4 linked regions of the Arabidopsis thaliana genome follow. The protein of the gene in region 1 interacts with the protein of each later gene in a pairwise test. Each region holds a gene or a part of one and is shown on either strand. Other genes may lie near its edges.

Evidence for each region.
Region 2: the proteins of CLT2 (region 1) and PRA1.C interact in a protein complementation assay, tested with the Arabidopsis thaliana proteins (one large-scale study listed by BioGRID).
Region 3: the proteins of CLT2 (region 1) and AT2G43420 interact in a protein complementation assay, tested with the Arabidopsis thaliana proteins (one large-scale study listed by BioGRID).
Region 4: the proteins of CLT2 (region 1) and TBL36 interact in a protein complementation assay, tested with the Arabidopsis thaliana proteins (one large-scale study listed by BioGRID).

Annotation. Positions count from the first base shown.
Region 1 is NC_003075.7:12,640,912-12,646,004, forward strand, and holds CLT2 (CRT (chloroquine-resistance transporter)-like transporter 2), read left to right. Parts: upstream 1-1,942; 5' UTR 1,943-1,976; coding exon 1,977-2,374; exon of another isoform or gene 2,375-2,445; coding exon of another isoform or gene 2,446-2,459; coding exon 2,460-2,605; intron 2,606-2,682; coding exon 2,683-2,720; intron 2,721-2,799; coding exon 2,800-2,915; intron 2,916-3,239; coding exon 3,240-3,339; intron 3,340-3,431; coding exon 3,432-3,467; intron 3,468-3,554; coding exon 3,555-3,605; coding exon of another isoform or gene 3,606-3,662; exon of another isoform or gene 3,663-3,810; coding exon 3,811-3,934; intron 3,935-4,023; coding exon 4,024-4,149; intron 4,150-4,238; coding exon 4,239-4,399; 3' UTR 4,400-4,445; exon of another isoform or gene 4,446-4,544; 3' UTR 4,545-4,590; downstream 4,591-5,093. Other genes in the region: PWD (phosphoglucan, water dikinase), read left to right, coding at 72-201, 285-410, 533-643, 729-821, 898-1,071, 1,152-1,244, 1,325-1,440, 1,516-1,720; ZIM (GATA-type zinc finger protein with TIFY domain-containing protein), read left to right, coding at 4,874-5,093. UniProt on the Arabidopsis thaliana protein: Involved in thiol transport from the plastid to the cytosol. Transports probably both glutathione (GSH) and its precursor, gamma-glutamylcysteine (gamma-EC).
Region 2 is NC_003075.7:14,532,384-14,535,796, reverse strand, and holds PRA1.C (prenylated RAB acceptor 1.C), read left to right. Parts: upstream 1-1,723; 5' UTR 1,724-1,777; coding exon 1,778-2,350; 3' UTR 2,351-2,860; downstream 2,861-3,413. Other genes in the region: EMB2752 (embryo defective 2752), read left to right, coding at 626-817, 1,183-1,302; AT4G29654 (Protein kinase superfamily protein), read left to right, coding at 3,343-3,371.
Region 3 is NC_003071.7:18,030,716-18,036,938, reverse strand, and holds AT2G43420 (3-beta hydroxysteroid dehydrogenase/isomerase family protein), read left to right. Parts: upstream 1-1,756; 5' UTR 1,757-2,002; coding exon 2,003-2,249; intron 2,250-2,399; coding exon 2,400-2,489; intron 2,490-2,566; coding exon 2,567-2,700; intron 2,701-2,786; coding exon 2,787-2,957; intron 2,958-3,099; coding exon 3,100-3,216; intron 3,217-3,311; coding exon 3,312-3,391; intron 3,392-3,796; coding exon 3,797-3,989; intron 3,990-4,077; coding exon 4,078-4,180; intron 4,181-4,548; coding exon 4,549-4,723; intron 4,724-4,878; coding exon 4,879-5,035; intron 5,036-5,115; coding exon 5,116-5,182; intron 5,183-5,294; coding exon 5,295-5,446; 3' UTR 5,447-5,671; downstream 5,672-6,223. Other genes in the region: GLX2-1 (glyoxalase 2-1), read left to right, coding at 105-228, 473-573, 892-966, 1,039-1,137, 1,224-1,370; FPA (RNA binding protein), read left to right, coding at 5,950-6,219.
Region 4 is NC_003074.8:20,084,417-20,088,648, reverse strand, and holds TBL36 (TRICHOME BIREFRINGENCE-LIKE 36), read left to right. Parts: upstream 1-1,681; 5' UTR 1,682-1,903; coding exon 1,904-2,214; intron 2,215-2,400; coding exon 2,401-2,572; intron 2,573-2,657; coding exon 2,658-2,839; intron 2,840-2,996; coding exon 2,997-3,146; intron 3,147-3,227; coding exon 3,228-3,552; 3' UTR 3,553-3,678; downstream 3,679-4,232. Other genes in the region: AT3G54270 (sucrose-6F-phosphate phosphohydrolase family protein), read left to right, coding at 1-121, 204-494, 648-834, 998-1,044, 1,141-1,230; AT3G54250 (GHMP kinase family protein), read left to right, coding at 3,961-4,170. UniProt on the Arabidopsis thaliana protein: May act as a bridging protein that binds pectin and other cell wall polysaccharides. Probably involved in maintaining esterification of pectins. May be involved in the specific O-acetylation of cell wall polymers.

The sequences.
Region 1 (5,093 bases):
TCTTATTATGTCACTGTTCTTTACGCTTAGAGAAGGAGTTTCTAATAACTCTGAAATTATATCACTTGCAGTGATGGCAACAACTCTGATGTCTCTGTTCGTCATATTTTTATTTCCTCTGTTCCACGGGGAGTGATCTCTAAGGGGAAGAAGTTTTGTGGCCACTATGTGATTTCATCTAAGGAATTCACTGATGAAAGGGTAAATAAGAATCAAATACATGAAGATAAAAGTTTTCATTTTGAGAATACCATTTGGATTTTCATTTCTATGAGATATTTTAGGTTGGCTCAAAATCATACAATATAAAATTTCTACGTGAAAGAGTTCCATCATGGATCAAGATACCTACCTCAGCTGCTCTTCCATTCGGAACATTTGAGAATATACTCTCAGATGATTCCAATAAGGTATAACCTTTAATCATTTGCTTCTTTCTGGAACTCTCTAAAAGTAATCCAAGGGACGGCTCCTCACTGAGCTTGCGATCCAGAAGTCTCTTAAATAGATTTGGTGATCCATCGCTTTTCAGGATGTAGCACGCAGGATTTCTGTCCTTAAAGATTCTCTTAACAGAGGAGACCTGACAAAACTTAAGTCCATTCAAGAAGCTATCTTACAAATGAGTGCTCCAATGGCTCTGGTAATAACTGGGCATATAATTGTCTTTCTTTCTCTCTGTTCATGTTCCATGTGAATCTCATGTTGGGTTTTGAACTCTTTGGTAGAGAAATGAACTGATCACAAAATTGAGAAGTGAAAGAATGCCTTATCTTGGTGATGAATCAGGCTGGAACCGCTCCTGGGTGGCAATTAAGAAGGTAAGAATCTCTTTGAACGTTTGTGTACTTATAGTTAAAGGAACCAAGTGTTTCCCTGATCTCCACATCTGCATAGGTCTGGGCTTCAAAGTGGAACGAGAGAGCTTATGTCAGTTGCAAAAAAAATAAGCTTGATCATGATGCGGTCTGCATGGCTGTGCTGATTCAAGAAGTCATTTGTGGCGATTATGCTTTCGTCATTCACACAAACAATCCGGTCTCTGGTGACTCTTCAGAAATATACACAGAGGTTAAAGAACTATCTCCAGTTTCCACACTTTTGAGTAAATAATATCAATAACTCAGTTATCAAGAAACTGGCGTTCTCAGATTGTGAAGGGTTTGGGAGAGACCTTGGTTGGAGCATATCCAGGACGAGCAATGAGCTTCATCACCAAGAAAACAAACCTCAAGTCTCCAACCGTAAGAAACAAACAGATCCTAGTTGGCTCTTAAGTTGAGTTATATATTAACCGAGTGAGTGGGGAATTTGGGTTGTACAGGTGATCAGTTACCCAAGTAAGAGGATAGGTCTGTATTCTAAACCCTCAATCATATTCAGATCAGATTCAAACAACGAGGATCTCGAAGGCAACGCAGGCGCTGGACTTTACGACAGGTTTGTTTTGTGTGTTTCTCTCTGTTTCCGTCTTTTATTTCGGAACTCAGAAGCTGAAAGGGTTAAGTGCTGCAGTGTGATAATGGATGAAGCAGAGGAAGTAGTGGTGGATTACTCAAGGGAGCCACTAATAATGGACAAATCCTTTCGAGTGCGTCTATTCTCAGCGATTGCAGAAGCTGGAAATGTGATAGAGTCAATCTATGGTTGTCCTCAAGACATTGAAGGTGTTGTCAAAGGTGGACATATCTACATCGTCCAAGCTAGACCCCAAGTTTAAGCTCTCTTTTTCTACTTGTACCATTCCCTAAGTTTTCAATCAAATCTTATAATTACAAGCTAATCTTTTATATGTTTGCTATTACACATGTAATATTTCTACATCATGGCACACTCCTGATACAAACAAACATGATTCAAAGTTTCATAATAAATGATTGTGTGATAAAAATCCAAAACTCGTTTAAACGACATCGTATGAAGGGTCGCATAAGCGAAGAAGGATATAAAAACAGTCGCCGAGAAAGTCTCCCGCTATGGATACCGTTCTCATGGCTACAACACCACCAATCAGATGTCTTCATGCTTCAATTCCTACGGTGTTCCGTTCGCCGGCGATTTATCAGGTCAGCTGCCGGAGCTCCCAACTGTTTTCCTACCGTTCGACGACTATGATGAGCATGTGTTTTCTCAGACGGTCCGATTTGAGATCTCGCTTTCTTAGTACTCCGAAAACCACTTCTCCGATGAGACGACCTCGCTTTTCCGTCGGTGCTTCTACGGAGGAGTCTTCAATTCCTTCTAATCGGAACCTTATCGTGGCTAACTCCGTCGTAATCGTAGCTTTAGCTGTAGCTAATCGCGTGCTCTACAAACTCGCTTTGGTTCCCATGAAACAGTACCCTTTTTTCATGGCTCAGCTCACCACTTTCGGGTAACTTAAACAAGAGTGGCTATGAAAGAAATTGGGCAGTGAAGGAGCCTAGCTTAGATTATGATAAATGAATGGTTTTTGGCAGCTACGTCTTGATTTATTTCACCATTCTGTATACGAGGCGCCGTCTAGGCATTGTGACGAATGAAATGATGGATGTACCCAAATGGAGATTCGCAATCATTGGTTTTCTCGAAGCTCTTGGTGTTGCCACTGGCATGGCTGCAGCAGGTATCCCATTTATAGCATGATTGAAACTTTACATATTTATAAGGTTACATATGGAGTGATTCCACTCTCTGTTGCAGCAATGCTTCCTGGACCAGTTATACCCATTTTGAATCAGGTCTTTTGGTTTTATGATTATCTTCTTGCTCATTTGTTCTCATGGGGGTGTTGAACTCATGCCTCCCAATGTTTGGCAGACATATTTGGTGTGGCAGCTGCTTTTTGCTCTTCTTATTTTAGGCAGGAGGTTTTTGCTTAACCAAATTGCTGGTTGTCTCCTTGTGGCTGTGGGGGTTGTGGTGGCTGTTTCAAGGTATTCCTTCCTCCCTCTTCTCTTCTTCTAAAGTTACTTTTATCTTCTTGGATCTGGATGCTTGATCTTGGGGTAGAGAAATGTTTGTGTATCCGTGGTCATTTACAGATTATATCAAGAGAGTGCTTTCAGCTCTTACAATCTAGAAAACTAGTTTTCATGGACCAGAGTCACACCTATCAAATTCACCATGCTAAATGAATGGAGACGGCTCTACTTTAGTATTTATCATCCACATAGCAAATAGAAGGCCCTGATTCTAGAGAAGCTTGTGTGATAGTGATACTTTCATTTTTGTGAATGCTGACTGTAACTCATCTGCAGTGGATCTGGTGCAGATACTACGCTATCTGGAATCGGTTTCTTATGGCCTGCTGTATTGGTAGCATCCGCTGCTTTTCAAGCTGGTGCATCTATCATAAAGGTGAAGGTCGCTCTCTCTTATGAGTTGTGAACATTTCTATTTTATTTTCTTTTGCCAAGACCCAAGTTGTTAAGTGTTTTGTCTGTTAACAGGAATTTGTTTTCAATGATGCTGCAAAGCGTCTTGAGGTATCTCCCTTATCCCCTGCATCAAACAGGAATGCTTTTCTTTCGAAACTTTGCTGAATTAACTCTAAGATTAACTGGTGGATGCAGGGAAAGTCACTGGATATATTTGTGGTAAATTCATTTGGATCTGGATTTCAGGTATCTACTACTACAATATCATGTTGTAAATGTATTTGTTACAGCCAAAACAATTAGACATGCTTCTCCATTACATCAAGAGTACGTGAAGAAAACATTTGAAAGCTGCTTTCCTCTGTTATTCACTTATTATCTCTCTCCTACTTGAGAAGAGTTTTTGTTTTTTGGTTTAGTGTTACGGATCACTGAAGCTGTGCTTGTGCAGGCTCTTTTTGTGTTCCTGTTGTTGCCTTTTCTCTCAAACTTGAAAGGCATTCCATTCGCCAGCCTTCCTTCATATCTAAAAGATGGTGCCGGATGCTTCTTCAACACTGGAGCTAAGATTTCTGGTTAGAGACCATTCGACACTTGTTTTTTTTTCCTTCATTGAATTTTATTCACTGCTAAAACTTTGTGATTATCCATTTGAGAATTTCAGGCTGTGATGGTGCCCCTATACTCCCACTGCTCTATATATCCACCAATCTCGCTTTCAACATCTCATTGCTCCATCTGGTGAAAATATCTTCAGCAATCGTTTCCTCTCTTACCATGATGCTCTCAGGTCCATATTTCTATCCTTCCATGCAACGCCTCTTAAGTGTCACCAAATACTCAAACCCATATGAGATAATACTTTTGGTGTTGTTGTAGTGCCATTAGCGGTGTACATAATGTCAAAACCATTGCCGTATCTACCGGGAGGATCAAGCTTGAGCTCAAATTTTACGATGGGGTGTATAGTTCTTGTCCTAGGTCTTCTTCTCTACAACATTCCCACTACTCCAACTAAACAACACACCAAGACCTCCTAACACACTCACTCACCATTCATCCTTTTTGTGCATTACTTTTTTTTTTGTTGATAAACCAAATTCGTGTAATTTCCCAATTTTTTTTCCTTTGACCATCAAAGATACATAGAATATTCTCAGATATTTTTTTTACGTGAAAAACTAGCTTAAAGAAAAAAAAAAAAAAAAAAGAATAACAAGAAGAGAAATTTGTGATTGGTTAAAAATCCAGTAAAGTAGAGTCGTCGGGTCGTCTCGGAAGCAGTGCTGCGATTTTACCTAAAGTCACCTTTTTTTTTTACCGTCGGGTGAATTCGACGACGGTCCTAATCTCGCCTCCTCCACACGCGCCGATCACCATCTCTCTCTGTAATCGCTCTTCTCGATGTCAACTATTTCCTTCTTCCTTTGCTCTTAGGGTTAGGGTTTATTTTGTTCTTTCTCTATATCCTTCAATCAATGTGAAAAAAAAGCTCTCCCTTTTGGCAGTTTCCGATGTTTGGTCGCCATTCGATTATCCCAAATAACCAGATTGGTACCGCCTCTGCTTCCGCTGGTGAAGACCATGTCTCTGCCTCCGCTACGTCTGGTCACATTCCTTACGACGATATGGAAGAAATCCCTCATCCTGACTCTATCTATGGTGCTGCCTCCGATTTGATTCCCGATGGCTCTCAATTGGTTGCTCACCGATCCGATGGCTCTGAATTACTTG
Region 2 (3,413 bases), 1.9 Mb from region 1:
AGCCAAACCAGCTGCATCAAGTTGAAGTGCCAGATTTTTAGATATATTACTAAGGCAACAATCTTTGGTTGCTCAAGCAAATACTCAGCTTAAAATTCTGTATATCGTCATATTTTTGGGTGTAAAAGAATACTTCCTAAAGCCAGTTACGATTCTTCTGCTAATAGTCAATTGCAAATGTATTTTCACTACTGCTGTTCTTTATTGCTTTAAAGCAAGCTTATTGATGAAGTCATGTGAGGTTGCATAAGTCTCATTTCCATAGTTTTGGGGTAAATTTATAACTTTCTCAACTTACCGAACGATAGTGAAAAACAAATACATAGCACAATGGTTACAATAATCATGTGTTGTGATTACAATTTACAAATTTACAAGAATCATATCAAATAAGATTTTTTAAAAATTTACAAATGTGAGCTCAAGACTTTTAAGTGTTAAAGATAAGTTAAGGGCTGAAAACTAAAACATGTAGGAATAAGAGGACTGTTTGGTAAACGTTTTAACGTTTAAAGTCTTGCCTTTTGATATCAGATTTTTCTCAGGTTCCCACGCGCCGCCGCGAAACAGCTAGACGGAGAAATCCAAAATTCGGCGAAGGTTTGAGAAGAGAGAAATCTGAGAGATGCAAGGAGTGTGGAGCCAACTATGGAGGAAATATGCTGATTATAAGTACAATAAGTTCGAGAGATTTGCTGTTTGGGAAATGATCGAACCTTACCGTCGACCAAAAACCTTCACAACTTTGATTACTATCTATGTCGCCGCCTTTTACACCGGCGTCATCGGCGCTGCAGTTACAGAGCAGCTCTACAAGGTCAGCTTCGTATTGTTATCGATTCAGGCCCGGAATTGCTATTAGATTTGTGGGTTCTAATTTGATTCTCGTGATTGGTAAATGTTAGGGTTCGAAATGTGATAAAATTGGAAATGATTCATTGTTGATTACTAATAAAGGATTGTGTGATCATGAAAAGAACTATACTTGAATTGCTTTTCATGGGAATGGTTCATTAGGTCTTTCAATGAAGCTTTTACGTCTTGATTAGTATCTAATCTAATTCATTGTTCTGTAGTATATTGTATTCTTTGTCAATGTGTTTCTTACACTGTTTTGTGTTAGTATCAGTTATGTTTCTTGTTTGAGTGTGAACTTTATGTTACTCCACTCTCTGTAAACAGGAGAAGTTTTGGGAAGAGCACCCAGGGAAAACAGTGCCTCTGATGAAGCCAGTATTCTATCGAGGACCATGGAGAGTTTATCGTGGTGAGGCTATTGCTTCAGATGCTAGCAGCCAGTGAAGCTAACGATTAGGCTATCAGAGACTATGGTGAAGGATGTATCTCCGACTTTGATACGCAGATATAAATGGATTTATACTGGTTCACTAGTATATGTATATCAAAAAACTTCTTTTGGTTCAGTAGAATGTTTGTGTCTGTATTTCGAGTCTAATGACTCTCTTAAGAATCTATTTTCTAGAAATTACATGTAATGACAGTCTCGTTATAGTATAAGGATTTGATTTGAGAAGTTTAAGGGTATCCATTCATTCCTTTGAATATCTCTGCTTGTATCTGCCTCTCTTCTGGTGTCCTGAAATAAAACATTCCCAAATAAGATAGATGATCTAACTACCTCAGAAACATTGAGCCAACACAGATTTTTCTCTTCAAATTAGGTTGCTTCACATTCTTTAGTCCATATAGATTCCTCTGGGGACGTACTCTGTTTCTTTCCTTCCTTTTTTTTTTTGTTTGTTGCTTGTGAAAGAATATGACAACCTATGGCACTATACCATCCCAAGAAAATGCTTCGTCGAGCCTGAGCTTATTAGGACGAGCCAAAGAATTGATCTCGTTAGGTCTTAGCTCTCAAAGGCCATGGCTTGAACTTGTCCAATGTAGTGCCTTTAGCCTTCCTATCTCCTTTAGCGTTGCCACTGAACGAATCAAATCCAACATCATGATCTTTCGAACCAACTACATTGTTATCTTCATTGTTAGTATCTTCATCAGCATGCTTTGGCAACCCGTCCACCTTTCCGTCTTTGTTATCTTGATAGTAGCATGGCTATATGTCTACTCCCGTGATAATGAACCATGGGTGATATTTGGCAGTGTGATCGATGATTCTACTTTGGTGCTGGTTTTGTTGGTCCTCACGATCGGTATATTTCTACTAACAGATGTATCCCGCGGTATTGTGATCGGGGTTTTGGCTGGTTTGCCCGTTGTTCTGGTTCATGGCATGTGTAGGAGGAATACAGAGATGTTGTTCGTCTTGGAAGATGATGAAGAGAAAGTGGCAATGAACACATCATCTTCGTCACTTTCTTCTTCCTCTTAAGTCTTCACAATTGAGCACAAGATTTTCAGTTTTTCTTTCCTGAATTTGTCTACATAGTTCAAAACAACGCATATCCAGTGAAGGAACGTTAACATGCTGCAAAAAGAACTTGAGCTCTTTTGCGATCAAAATTCAGGATGTGGATATTGATGTACTGATGCATGTCAGAGACCTTGGTGACAAATAAAAGGCAATTTTGCGTGCTGATTAAAAACATTATCCTATGATAGAATTCCTATCTAATTATCTCCAACAAGCCAATACAATAACGAAGACAAGTGTGATCCTCTTCTCAGTTATCACTTATTACAAATTATCCAATCGATTCTCTCATTTTCAACAATTACGAATTGAAAGGTTGTAACTTTATATGAACAATGATCTAGTTTTTAATTTTATCACAACAATTATCAAGTTCAAATGCAATAGGGATTTGGCTATATATACCATTTTACTTTTTAGACACGACATGAAGAAGTAGTTAGACCATCTCCAACAAAGAGAACCCCAAAAAATTCTCAAATAAAAAAAATATTAATATTTTACTATAATTTGATTATACAATTAAATTTTTATTTTAGTAAAAAAATTAGATAATTGTAAAAGAGATAAGTGTTTAAAAGGAACTCTCTAAAATATCTGAGGTGGTTTAGACGTCTCGCTAATATCAACCGGCCTAGTCCCAGAGTGAATACAATATTTTTACATTTGGTAAATGTTAAGCAAAACCAACTAAGACTTATTCCTAATAAACATATTTAATTTATTTATTTCAAAGAGATAATTACATAGGTTTATATTGTCTATGAAGAATTATTTTGTTTATAATTTTTTTAATATGTTATAGTGTTCTAGAATTACCAAAATATAAAGTTTGTTAATCATGTTTAATTTAAAGCAAAAAAAGAAGATAAAACATAAGAAAAACAAAAGCAAACTACAAGCAAAATATATATAAATTTTCAAGATTTCTCCTTATTCCTCCAAACTCTATGCATTTTAAAATAGTTGGTTTGAGGATGTATTGTTTATTATTTCGTTATTATCATGCTTTATATATATT
Region 3 (6,223 bases), on another chromosome or scaffold:
GTTTTTTGGACCTTTTTGTTTTGCACCTTTGTCGAGTTGTTCTTTTCGTTTTTGCTTCTTTTATATATACTCAAGTGTTTTTATGTGACTTATGTTGCCGACAGGTGATTGGATCAGCTGTAGATAAAGATCGGATTCCTGGAATTGACATACTTCTGAAGGATAGTGATAAGTGGATGTTTGCTGGCCATGAGGTTCGGATACTTGACACTCCTGGCCATACACAAGGTTTGTAGCTGCCATAACCTCTACTGTAAAATACTAAGAACACATCTATACAGTCAAATATTGCCAACGTTAGAAACCTTTGGTGGATCACATATTAGTATCTTATTTGTCATTCTAATTTGTTATCCTCAATACATTACTGTGTAACTGCTCTCCTTTTTTATCGTTCTAGTGTAGTACAACTAGTAATTAATGTATACTTGGTGCCATGTTTTATCACTTAACTGTACTTATTCTCAAGCAGGCCATATTAGCTTCTACTTTCCCGGGTCAGCGACAATATTCACAGGAGACCTGATATATAGCTTATCCTGTGGTACCCTTTCAGAAGGTACCCCTGAGCAGGTAACATCAATTTCAAAAAGCAATATTTCAACCTTCTCGACCCTTGCACTGTTATGATTATTTTCTTGTGGCAAAAATTGTGCCAAGTGATTTGTGGTTTTCTAAATCATGTTTCTTTTTCAACCTTCATATCTTTTTACTGTTATGGTTACTTTCTTGTGGCAAACTGTGCTGAGTCAAATGGTATAGACTTTATGGAGAGATCACTTGGGACTTGGGAGTACTCTAATAACCGTACATTGTAGTTTCTTTCACAGAAGCAAACTTATTGTGCTCTGTCCTTTTTAACGAGAAAACCTTTTTTGCCTTATGACTCAGATGCTTTCATCACTCCAAAAGATCGTGTCTCTACCAGACGATACAAATATATACTGCGGCCGTGAAAACACAGCAGTAAGTTCCACGCACATAAATACTCTTAATTCACATTGTTCAACTCTCTTTTATATCTCCTCCATGATACAGGGCAATCTCAAGTTTGCTCTATCCGTAGAACCAAAGAATGAAACTCTTCAGTCCTATGCAACTCGAGTCGCCCATCTTCGCAGCCAGGGGCTCCCATCGGTAAAACCTCTTATCTCTTCCCTATCTCCTCTTTCTCTCTAAACCTCTCTCTAGATTTCATTTACTTACGGATTTGTTGTCTGTAGATTCCAACGACTGTCAAGGTTGAGAAAGCGTGTAACCCATTCCTCAGAATATCGAGCAAAGATATCCGAAAATCTTTAAGCATTCCAGACTCAGCAACCGAAGCTGAAGCATTGCGTCGTATACAGAGAGCCAGAGATCGTTTCTGAAAACTTGGGTATATTTTCTTATTTGTATAGAAAAATTTGCAAGTCAATCATCAGCTGCAAAGATCAATATTTTATATGTTTTGGGCTTTCTTCAGTTATCATTTGAAGTTGTGTATTCAACACAAAAAAATCTAAATATTTAGTTTAAACTCAATTATTAAATTATGAGATTTTCAAGTGTAATGAATGCTTCAACATACATACACAAGTGTATAGATAGATACGGTTTAGTTTCTCTCTACAAGTGCTTACCAAATTTCTAACAATGGAAATCATATGTTTGGTGGATTGATGGAATTGGCTCACCAAACGTGAAAACGCAACCGTGCGTCTACGATTTAATATTAGCTTTACTAGATTTGTTTGTAACCAAGGAATAATTATACAGATAATTTACATAAATTAAGTCAAATCCATAGATTTATGGCAAAAAAGTGTGAATATTAAATTATAATTACACAGCCGAAGAATAAAGGAAAACGCTAAAAGGTTGCGCGAGTGGAGAGTCTGCCCGCCAAGCAACCCCTAGTATTCAGCTTTTTGTGCACTGATCCAACTCGACTCGGCCTTTTTCTCTGAGTTGACTCGACCGAGAAAAGGCGATAGAGCTGGGGTTTAATTCGGCGATAACAATGGACGAAGATTCCGTCCATGGCGATTCTCACCTCAAGACATGTGTCGTCCTCGGCGGACGAGGGTTCATTGGTCGATCGCTTGTCTCCAGATTGCTTCGTCTCGGAAACTGGACAGTCCGAGTCGCAGATTCCGGTCACACTCTCCATCTTGATGAATCCGATTCGCTCCTCGAGGATGCTCTCTCCTCCGGCCGCGCTTCTTATCACTGCGTCGATGTTCGTGATAAACCTCAGATCGTTAAAGGTTTTCCTCTTATTTCCTGTTGCACTTTGTTAGATATGACATTGATGGATCGGTTTTTGGTATCTAGAAAATGCTATGGGGGAGTGTTTGGCTATTTGAGATTTTCGGGTTCTGATTTGAGTTTTGGTGTGACTGTTTTGTTCCTTGCAGTTACCGAGGGTTCCTATGTTGTATTTTACATGGGAGCTACTGATTTACGTTCCCATGATTACTTTGACTGCTACAAGGTTATAGTTCAAGGTAAAGTTCTTAGTCACTTCAAGATGGTTTACCATTATATTAGTTAAACTTGGGTGGTTAATCGATTTCTCGTATAGGTACAAGAAATGTGATTTCTGCCTGTCGTGAATCTGGAGTCAGAAAACTTATCTACAACAGTACAGCTGATGTTGTTTTTGATGGTTCCCAACCTATACGTGATGGTGATGAATCCTTGAGACGTCCTTTGAAGGTAATCCTTGAGCATGTTTGTTTAGTTGGTTTTTGTCGTTGGTCTTTTTCAGAGATGATATCTGTTTTGCTCTGATTCTCTTGCAGTTCCAATCTATGTTGACAGACTTCAAAGCTCAAGCAGAAGCGTTGATCAAATTGGCTAACAACCGAGATGGTCTCTTAACTTGTGCACTTCGCTCTAGCATTGTATTTGGACCTGGTGACACAGAGTTTGTACCTTTTTTGGTGAATCTAGCCAAGTCCGGATATGCAAAGGTCTTACTATTAGTTCATCCCATTGTTGCGTTTTTGCGTCTACGTTTATTATCTTATTATACCTGGTAGTATTCCTTGAGCTTGATGCATTCTTAGTTTTCCTTTTTTGGAGGAATGACTGTCTTAGTTTTTAAAATTTCAGTTTATACTCGGGAGTGGTGAAAATATCTCTGATTTCACTTACTCGGAGAACGTTTCTCATGCACATATTTGCGCCGTTAAAGCATTAGATTCACAGATGGAGTTTGTGGCTGGAAAGGTAACCTCTTTGAGTCAAAGTGTATTTGCCAAATCACTCCTGAAAGCGCATGAACTTTATATGTGATGAATTTTTACTGTGCCGACTTTATGTAGGAATTTTTTATCACAAACCTCAAGCCGGTCAGATTTTGGGACTTTGTAAGCCATATAGTTGAAGGTCTGGGATACCCAAGGTAAATAAGCATCCGAACAGTTTTTGATACAATGAAACTTGCTGTGAACTCCTTTTATCTTTCTGTTTCCTGATTATCAATGTAGCATGGGAAAAAGGCTCCTCAGAACTTCTGAACCTACCTTGAATGTTCCCTTCTTAAAGCAAAAGATCTTAATTTTCTGTTGATAGATGTCCTGGAGACATGTCTAGAAGAACCGTTTCGAGAACAGCCATATTCAATTAGTTTTTTTAGATATAAACTATCTATACATGGTGATTCGCTGATATTTAGTATTTTATACATGGTCGTATATGTTTCCTTCTCCTATGTCTTAAATATTGATCATTTTGAAAAGTTTTAGATCCTTAGAGCTAACTTTCTGGTTTACCTGTTTTGATATTTTTTTTTCCTCTTTAATTGCAGACCATCCATTAAACTTCCTGTTCGGCTGGTTTTGTATGTTTTCTCACTTCTTAAGTGGACACATGAAAAGGAGGGCCTTGGGAGTAATTATGACACAGCACATCAGTATGCTCTGTTAGCTTCATCAACGAGAACTTTTAACTGCAATGCAGCTAAGAAGCATCTTGGTTACACACCTGTTGTGACACTTGAAGTGAGTTTGTTGGATAGTATTTTGGCTTTTTGCATATTCAGCTGCTTAGTACCTTCCTTGGATTTATTAGCTCTTGTTGGATTTGTAGGATGGTATTGCATCAACGCTTCAATGGTTCTCTCGGGATCTTGAGAAGTCTGATGACACAATCATTCAATCTACTGCAGATCAGCTTCTTGGTTGTGGGAAAGGTTAGAACCATCTCGCTATTAACAATTATAATGCCTTTTTGAAGTGTTCTTGGCTAAGTATTCAGTTGTATTGCTTGAAGTCCGCATCTCATCTAGCTATGGATATGATGATGCATGTTCACAAGGCTTAACCTGGAAAGAATCTATCTCTATTTTCAACTTAGATTTGTTTGCTTCTAGATGTCTAGAACATGCTGAAGTATCTGCTTGGTTAATTTACATCTTCTTCCAGTCCATGTAATTTCATGCGAGTTCCAACTTTATTTCATGCACATATAAACAAACTCAAAGCGAATCTGGTCAATGCAAGCTTTTAATATTAATCTCTTTAAACTGACTTAGCTTTTCATCTCTATGTTCTCATGCAGTTGCAGACATCTTGCTGTGGAGAAATGAGAAGAAAACCTTCGTTTCTTTTCTTGTCCTAAACTTGTTTTATTACTGGTTCTTCTTTTCTGGAAACACATTTACTTCATCTGCAGCCCAACTTCTGTTTATATTTGCTGTTGCTCTCTATGGAGTCTCTTTTGTGCCGTCAAAGATGTAAGTATTGGTTCCAGAACTTTACCATTATAGAAGGCAGTGAAAATAAGTTGTGATACCAAAATTGTCCTATCAAAGGATGATGCACCCATGTATATATATTTCACCTTTGAAATCTATATGCAACTAAGTGACAGATTGATTTATTTTGACAGTTTCGGGTTTCAAGTCAACAAAATACCCCCATGGAGATTTGAGATCTCCGAATCCGCTGTGAGAGATCTTAGTAGTGATATCGTAGTTGTCTGGAATCAAGGAGTTCGCAGTTTTAAATCCTTAAGCAGTGGAGGAGACTGGATCAAGTTCTTCAAGGTACAATTCTACTCTTTATGCTCACCAAACATGAAAAATATCTCATTGCTCTCGTTTCCTAAAACAAAACATAAAAACAGATTGCAGGATCACTGTATCTCCTCAAACTGATTGTATCCCGTTCATTGGCAGCATTTCTTTTCACAGGTACTCGAACAAAGCTTTTGTTTTCACACTTCATAAACATGATTAACAACTTCATAAACATGATTAACAACTTCTTTATCCATAACATTTTCTCTACGCTTTGCTTGGACAGTTATGTCGTTCTCATTCACCGGTTTCTTCATCTACGAGCAATACGAGCTTGAGCTCTACCACCTAGCCCGGATATTCGTCGAATGCTTAACATTTATTAAAAGGATGGTGATACCTGTTTCTGATGCTTCATCTAAACCAATGTTCATGTGAAGCTTCCAAAGTCCTCCACTAAACGAACACCAACAATCCCAGAGACTAATTGCAGTTATTAGATGTCTTATGTACAAACATTATGCTATCAGGATGTAATCTTCACTGAGAGGGGATGGATATATGATTATTTACGAATTTGCCATAACTACTATCAAAATGCACCGTTTTGATCCGGTTTCCAAAAAAAAAAGAAAAAAAAGGAAAGTATCCTTATATATCCTTTAAAAGCCGCCGCTTCGATATTCCCTGGCCTCTCTTTCTCTCACAATCTAATCTTCTTCGTCTTCAAACTCAATCTAGGGTTCTCTTCTCCTCTCTGTAGGTAGGATTTTGAACACCCAAATCTCTCATCGAATTTTTCTTGCTCAACGTATCATCGCACAATTCGTCTCTCGTTTTCCGTCACGTGGATAATCGAAATCTCATAATCCCAAAGGTAAAACAATCAATTCTGGGATTGGAATTTTGGATCCATAGGATCGTCAATTGAAACAATCCCGATGGCGTTATCTATGAAGCCATTCAGAGCCGATGATTCCGGTTTCCAGTCAAACAATCTTTGGGTCGGTAGCCTAACGCCGGAGACGACAGAGTCAGATCTGACCGAGTTGTTTGGAAGATACGGCGATATTGATAGAATCACGGTGTATTCTTCACGAGGCTTTGCGTTTATATACTACAGACATGTGGAGGAAGCAGTCGCAGCCAAAGAGGCTCTTCAAGGAGCAAATTTGAATGGAAGTCAAATTAAGATCGAATACGCACGACCGGTTT
Region 4 (4,232 bases), on another chromosome or scaffold:
TTTGACATATCTACTTGACAAGTTGGATATTGAAGGCAAGCAGCCTTCTAACACACTTGTTTGTGGTGACTCTGGAAATGATGCTGAGCTTTTCAACATTTCTGACGTATATGGCGTAATGGTTAGTTCCCAACTACTTTTTTTTAGGTTCGATCATACTTGACTACGCGTGAGTGATTGTGCTTATATTTTTACTGTTTAAGGTTAGCAATTCGCATGAAGAATTATTGCAATGGTATGAAGAAAATGCAAAGGACAACCCAAAAATATTTCATGCGTCTGAGAGGTGTGGAGCTGGTATGATAGAAGCTATTCAGAGGTTTAATTTGGGACCAAATGTCTCTCCTAGAGATGTTATGGACACTGAAAATTTCCATGGGGAAAGTTTGAATCCTGCTCATGAGGTTGTTCAGTTTTATTTGTTTTATGAGAGATGGCGTTGTGGAGAGGTGGAAAAGTCTGACAAGTACTTGCAGAATTTGAAATCGCTCTCTGTAAGTGTGTTTATTTGACAAAAAAAAGCTCTCTAGCATCTAACGTAATGGAAATTCAAGTGCTCAAATTGATAATTTTGAAGATGTTCTTGATTGCTTGTGTTGTGTAGACTTATTAGTTGACGTAATTGTTATGCTTTTGCAATGTTTCAGAGTCCACTTGGTATTTTTGTTCATCCGTCTGGAGTGGAGAAACCGATACATGAATGGATAGATGAGATGGAAAATTTATACGGTGATGGGAAGGAAAAGAAGTTTCGCATTTGGTTGGATAATGTTACGTCTTCTCATATCAGTTCAGATACATGGCTTGCAAAATTTGTAAAGCATGAGTTATCTGGTAAGAAATCTTGTTCTTCAATTACATGGCTTATACTTGTGACTTATCGAGCTAGGAAATGATTTAGCAGAAAATACGATCAACTGATTTGTTTGATTTCTCATCATAAGGGTATACTGTAGAAGTTTGCTTCCATGTTCTAATGTCTAGCTCGTGTTTACAGAGGGAAAAGTACGGTCTTGTTCAACAAAAGTCTTACTGAGTTATAAGGTAAACCTTGATTTATGATCCTTTTAAGATTTCAAACGATTAGATTGGTTAAATAATATTGGAAAAAAATAACTGAAAATGGGTTAAAATTGAAAGGAGGAAAAGCAAAGGCTGACGTGGATGCACATCCACCAATCATGGTTAGATGAATCTTCTTCAGATGATCAAGAAAAATGGATTTTCTAAAGGATTATCTTAATCTCGACTGACATACTAAAGATGACATCTGTTTGGGACAGAAGCTAACCAAAGAGCATAGTGTTTGTTTTGTGTTATGTTTGTTTGGGGATGGTGTGAGTTTGATAAAGCATGAAGGATACTAAAAGCTGAAGAAGGTGTTGCCATGTCTTGGTTTCGTTTCATTAATACTTTTTTACATATTTGGGTTAACTTAAAACTATTAATAAGGAAGGTTGGGTCCTGAATTTGGTCTGTTCATGACCTTTTGAGGGCAGGGAGAGTTTTGGGTCTCTACAACAAAACCTACATTTCTTTAGTCTTACAAAACCTACCATTGTGTTTGATTTGCAATTCTTTTTTCTGGTTTATATGGATTGTTTTCTACTATTTCTGTTTGTTTTTGTTGAGAAACTATTTCGATTTTTTAAACCATATACAAAACGCTCCACCAAACTCACAAATCCCGCCTTGGATACTGTAATCTGTTTTTATAAAAAAATGATATGATGGAGAGAAGAGGAGACGCAAGTCACGGGACATGATTTCAAGCATAAGTCTAATTACTAATTACCACCACTTTCCGTAATTAACGCCCTTTTTCACTTTATCCACTTTTTGTTGCCCATCTTCTTTATATTATTTCTTTCTCCAAGCCCACACTGCTCAGTTTCCTGGTCAAATGGCTACCTCAGAGACTCGAGTCTTGTTCTTATCTTTGTGTCTCATCCTTGGCAAAGTAGTTTTGTCTCAGTTTGATGAGTTATGGCTAGTAGGGGACGATGATCCACTCAACGCCTTGCAGACGAGGCGTGAAAGAAGAGAGGAGAGGTGTGATTACTCGGTGGGGAAATGGACGTTCGATGAAACGTATCCGCTCTATGATTCAAGCTGTCCATATCTGAGTTCTGCACTAAGTTGCCAAAGAAATGGAAGACCCGACTCTTATTACCAGAAATGGAGATGGATCCCTAAGGCTTGTTCACTACCAAGGCACACTCCACACTCCTCTTACTTCTTACATTACTTCTTTTTAAAATTTCTGTCTCATCAAGTAAAAAAGTTGGTTTATATTGGCTTTGCATGGTTAATTGCAAGATGAATAAATTGACTAATGAAAAATGGGAAAGAGACATTAATATTAACCAAAATAGTGGCTCTTTCCATGATGGTGTTTAGGTTTGACGCATTGAAATTTCTTGGGAAAATGAGAGGAAAAAGAATAATGCTGGTTGGAGATTCAATGATGAGAAACCAGTGGGAATCTCTTGTCTGCTTAGTACAGTCTGTTCTTCCCACTCATCGTAAGAAGCTCACTTACAATGGTCCTACGATGTCTTTCCATTCTCTGGTAATTAATAATCACAAATCTCCTTTTGAATCACATATACATCATTGGTTAGTAGATGCAACTATTAAATTTGGTTACTATACAGGATTTTGAGACATCAATTGAGTTTTGTTGGGCTCCTCTGCTTGTGGAACTCAAGAGAGGAGTTGACCGTAAAAGGGTGTTACATTTGGACTCAATCGAAGACAATGCTAGATATTGGCGTGGTGTAGATGTTCTTGTATTCGATTCCGCTCACTGGTGGACTCACTCTCAGAGATGGAGTTCGTAAGTCATCTGAATAAACACTTACATCTTTCCTTCAAAAGCAAATGATTAGTGTATAACGGTTCATAGACGTCTATGTTCATTGTATTTGTTATTGTGTCTCATTTTACATCAGATTTGGGATTTGTGACAGTAACGCAAGCTATTGATGTTTTAGGTGGGATTATTACATGGATGGGAATAAGATCTTCAAAGCTATGGACCCAATGGTTGCTTATGAGAGAGGACTAACCACATGGGCTAAATGGGTTGAGATAAATCTTGATCCATCCAAAACAAAAGTCATTTTCCGCACTGTCTCACCGAGGTTTTTTCTTATATTCTCCTCTTAATCTCAACATATATACAAAATGGACACCATTAATTCATGTACATAAATTCTTGGCAGAGAGAGTGGTCAGATGTGCTACAACCAGAAACATCCCTTGCCTTCTTTATCTTCTTCCACCAAACCCCACGTGCCTCAACAGTCAAGAGTGTTGAACAAAGTGCTAAGGACAATGAAATACCGAGTGTATTTATACGATATCACAACAATGTCTGCGTATAGAAGAGACGGTCATCCTTCGGTGTTCAAGAGAGCAATGCACGAGGAAGAGAAGCACCATCGTATCGCTGGACCTTCATCAGATTGCAGTCATTGGTGCTTGCCCGGTGTCCCGGATATTTGGAATGAGATGCTTTCTTCAATTATCTTAACCAATGCTGTATGAGCTATAATAAGAGTCTGTTTTTACTCATGAACAATGGTGTTACTTATATGAATCAGTGGTTTATATATTACATATCCTTTCCCAGCTAACAAATATCCCAATATCAAAGACAAGACAACTCAAAGGCCTTTAAGCATAAAGTTCATGCATCACAATGATTTTCGTGTTTTGGTTATTTCTTACCTAACTCAATTTTTTTCCTAAAACGTTTTAGGTTAAGTTTTGGTGTTTTCATCAAAATGGCAATAACCATTTGATTAGAGTTTTACAGTTAGTGAAGTTCTCAATTTTTGAATAAAATAATATTTTTAAAATTGTAAAGGCAATGAGTCATCATTATTCTGTCGTATTCTCCGTCGCTTTCATTTTCAACTACTTTGAAGCTGCAGATCTCTTTTGGAGATTCACATGGCGACGGAGAAATGGGTGTTCATGGTGACGGCGCAAACTCCGACGAACATTGCGGTGATTAAGTATTGGGGAAAGAGAGATGAGGTTCGGATTCTCCCCGTTAACGATAGCATTAGCGTAACTCTTGATCCTGATCATCTCTGCACAGTCACCACTGTTGCCGTTAGTCCTGCTTTTGATCGGGATCGAATGTGGCTCAATGGCAAGGTACACTCGCTTCATTTCCCATCACGATCTCTCTCCTTTTGCTGAGATTCCAATTATCGAAT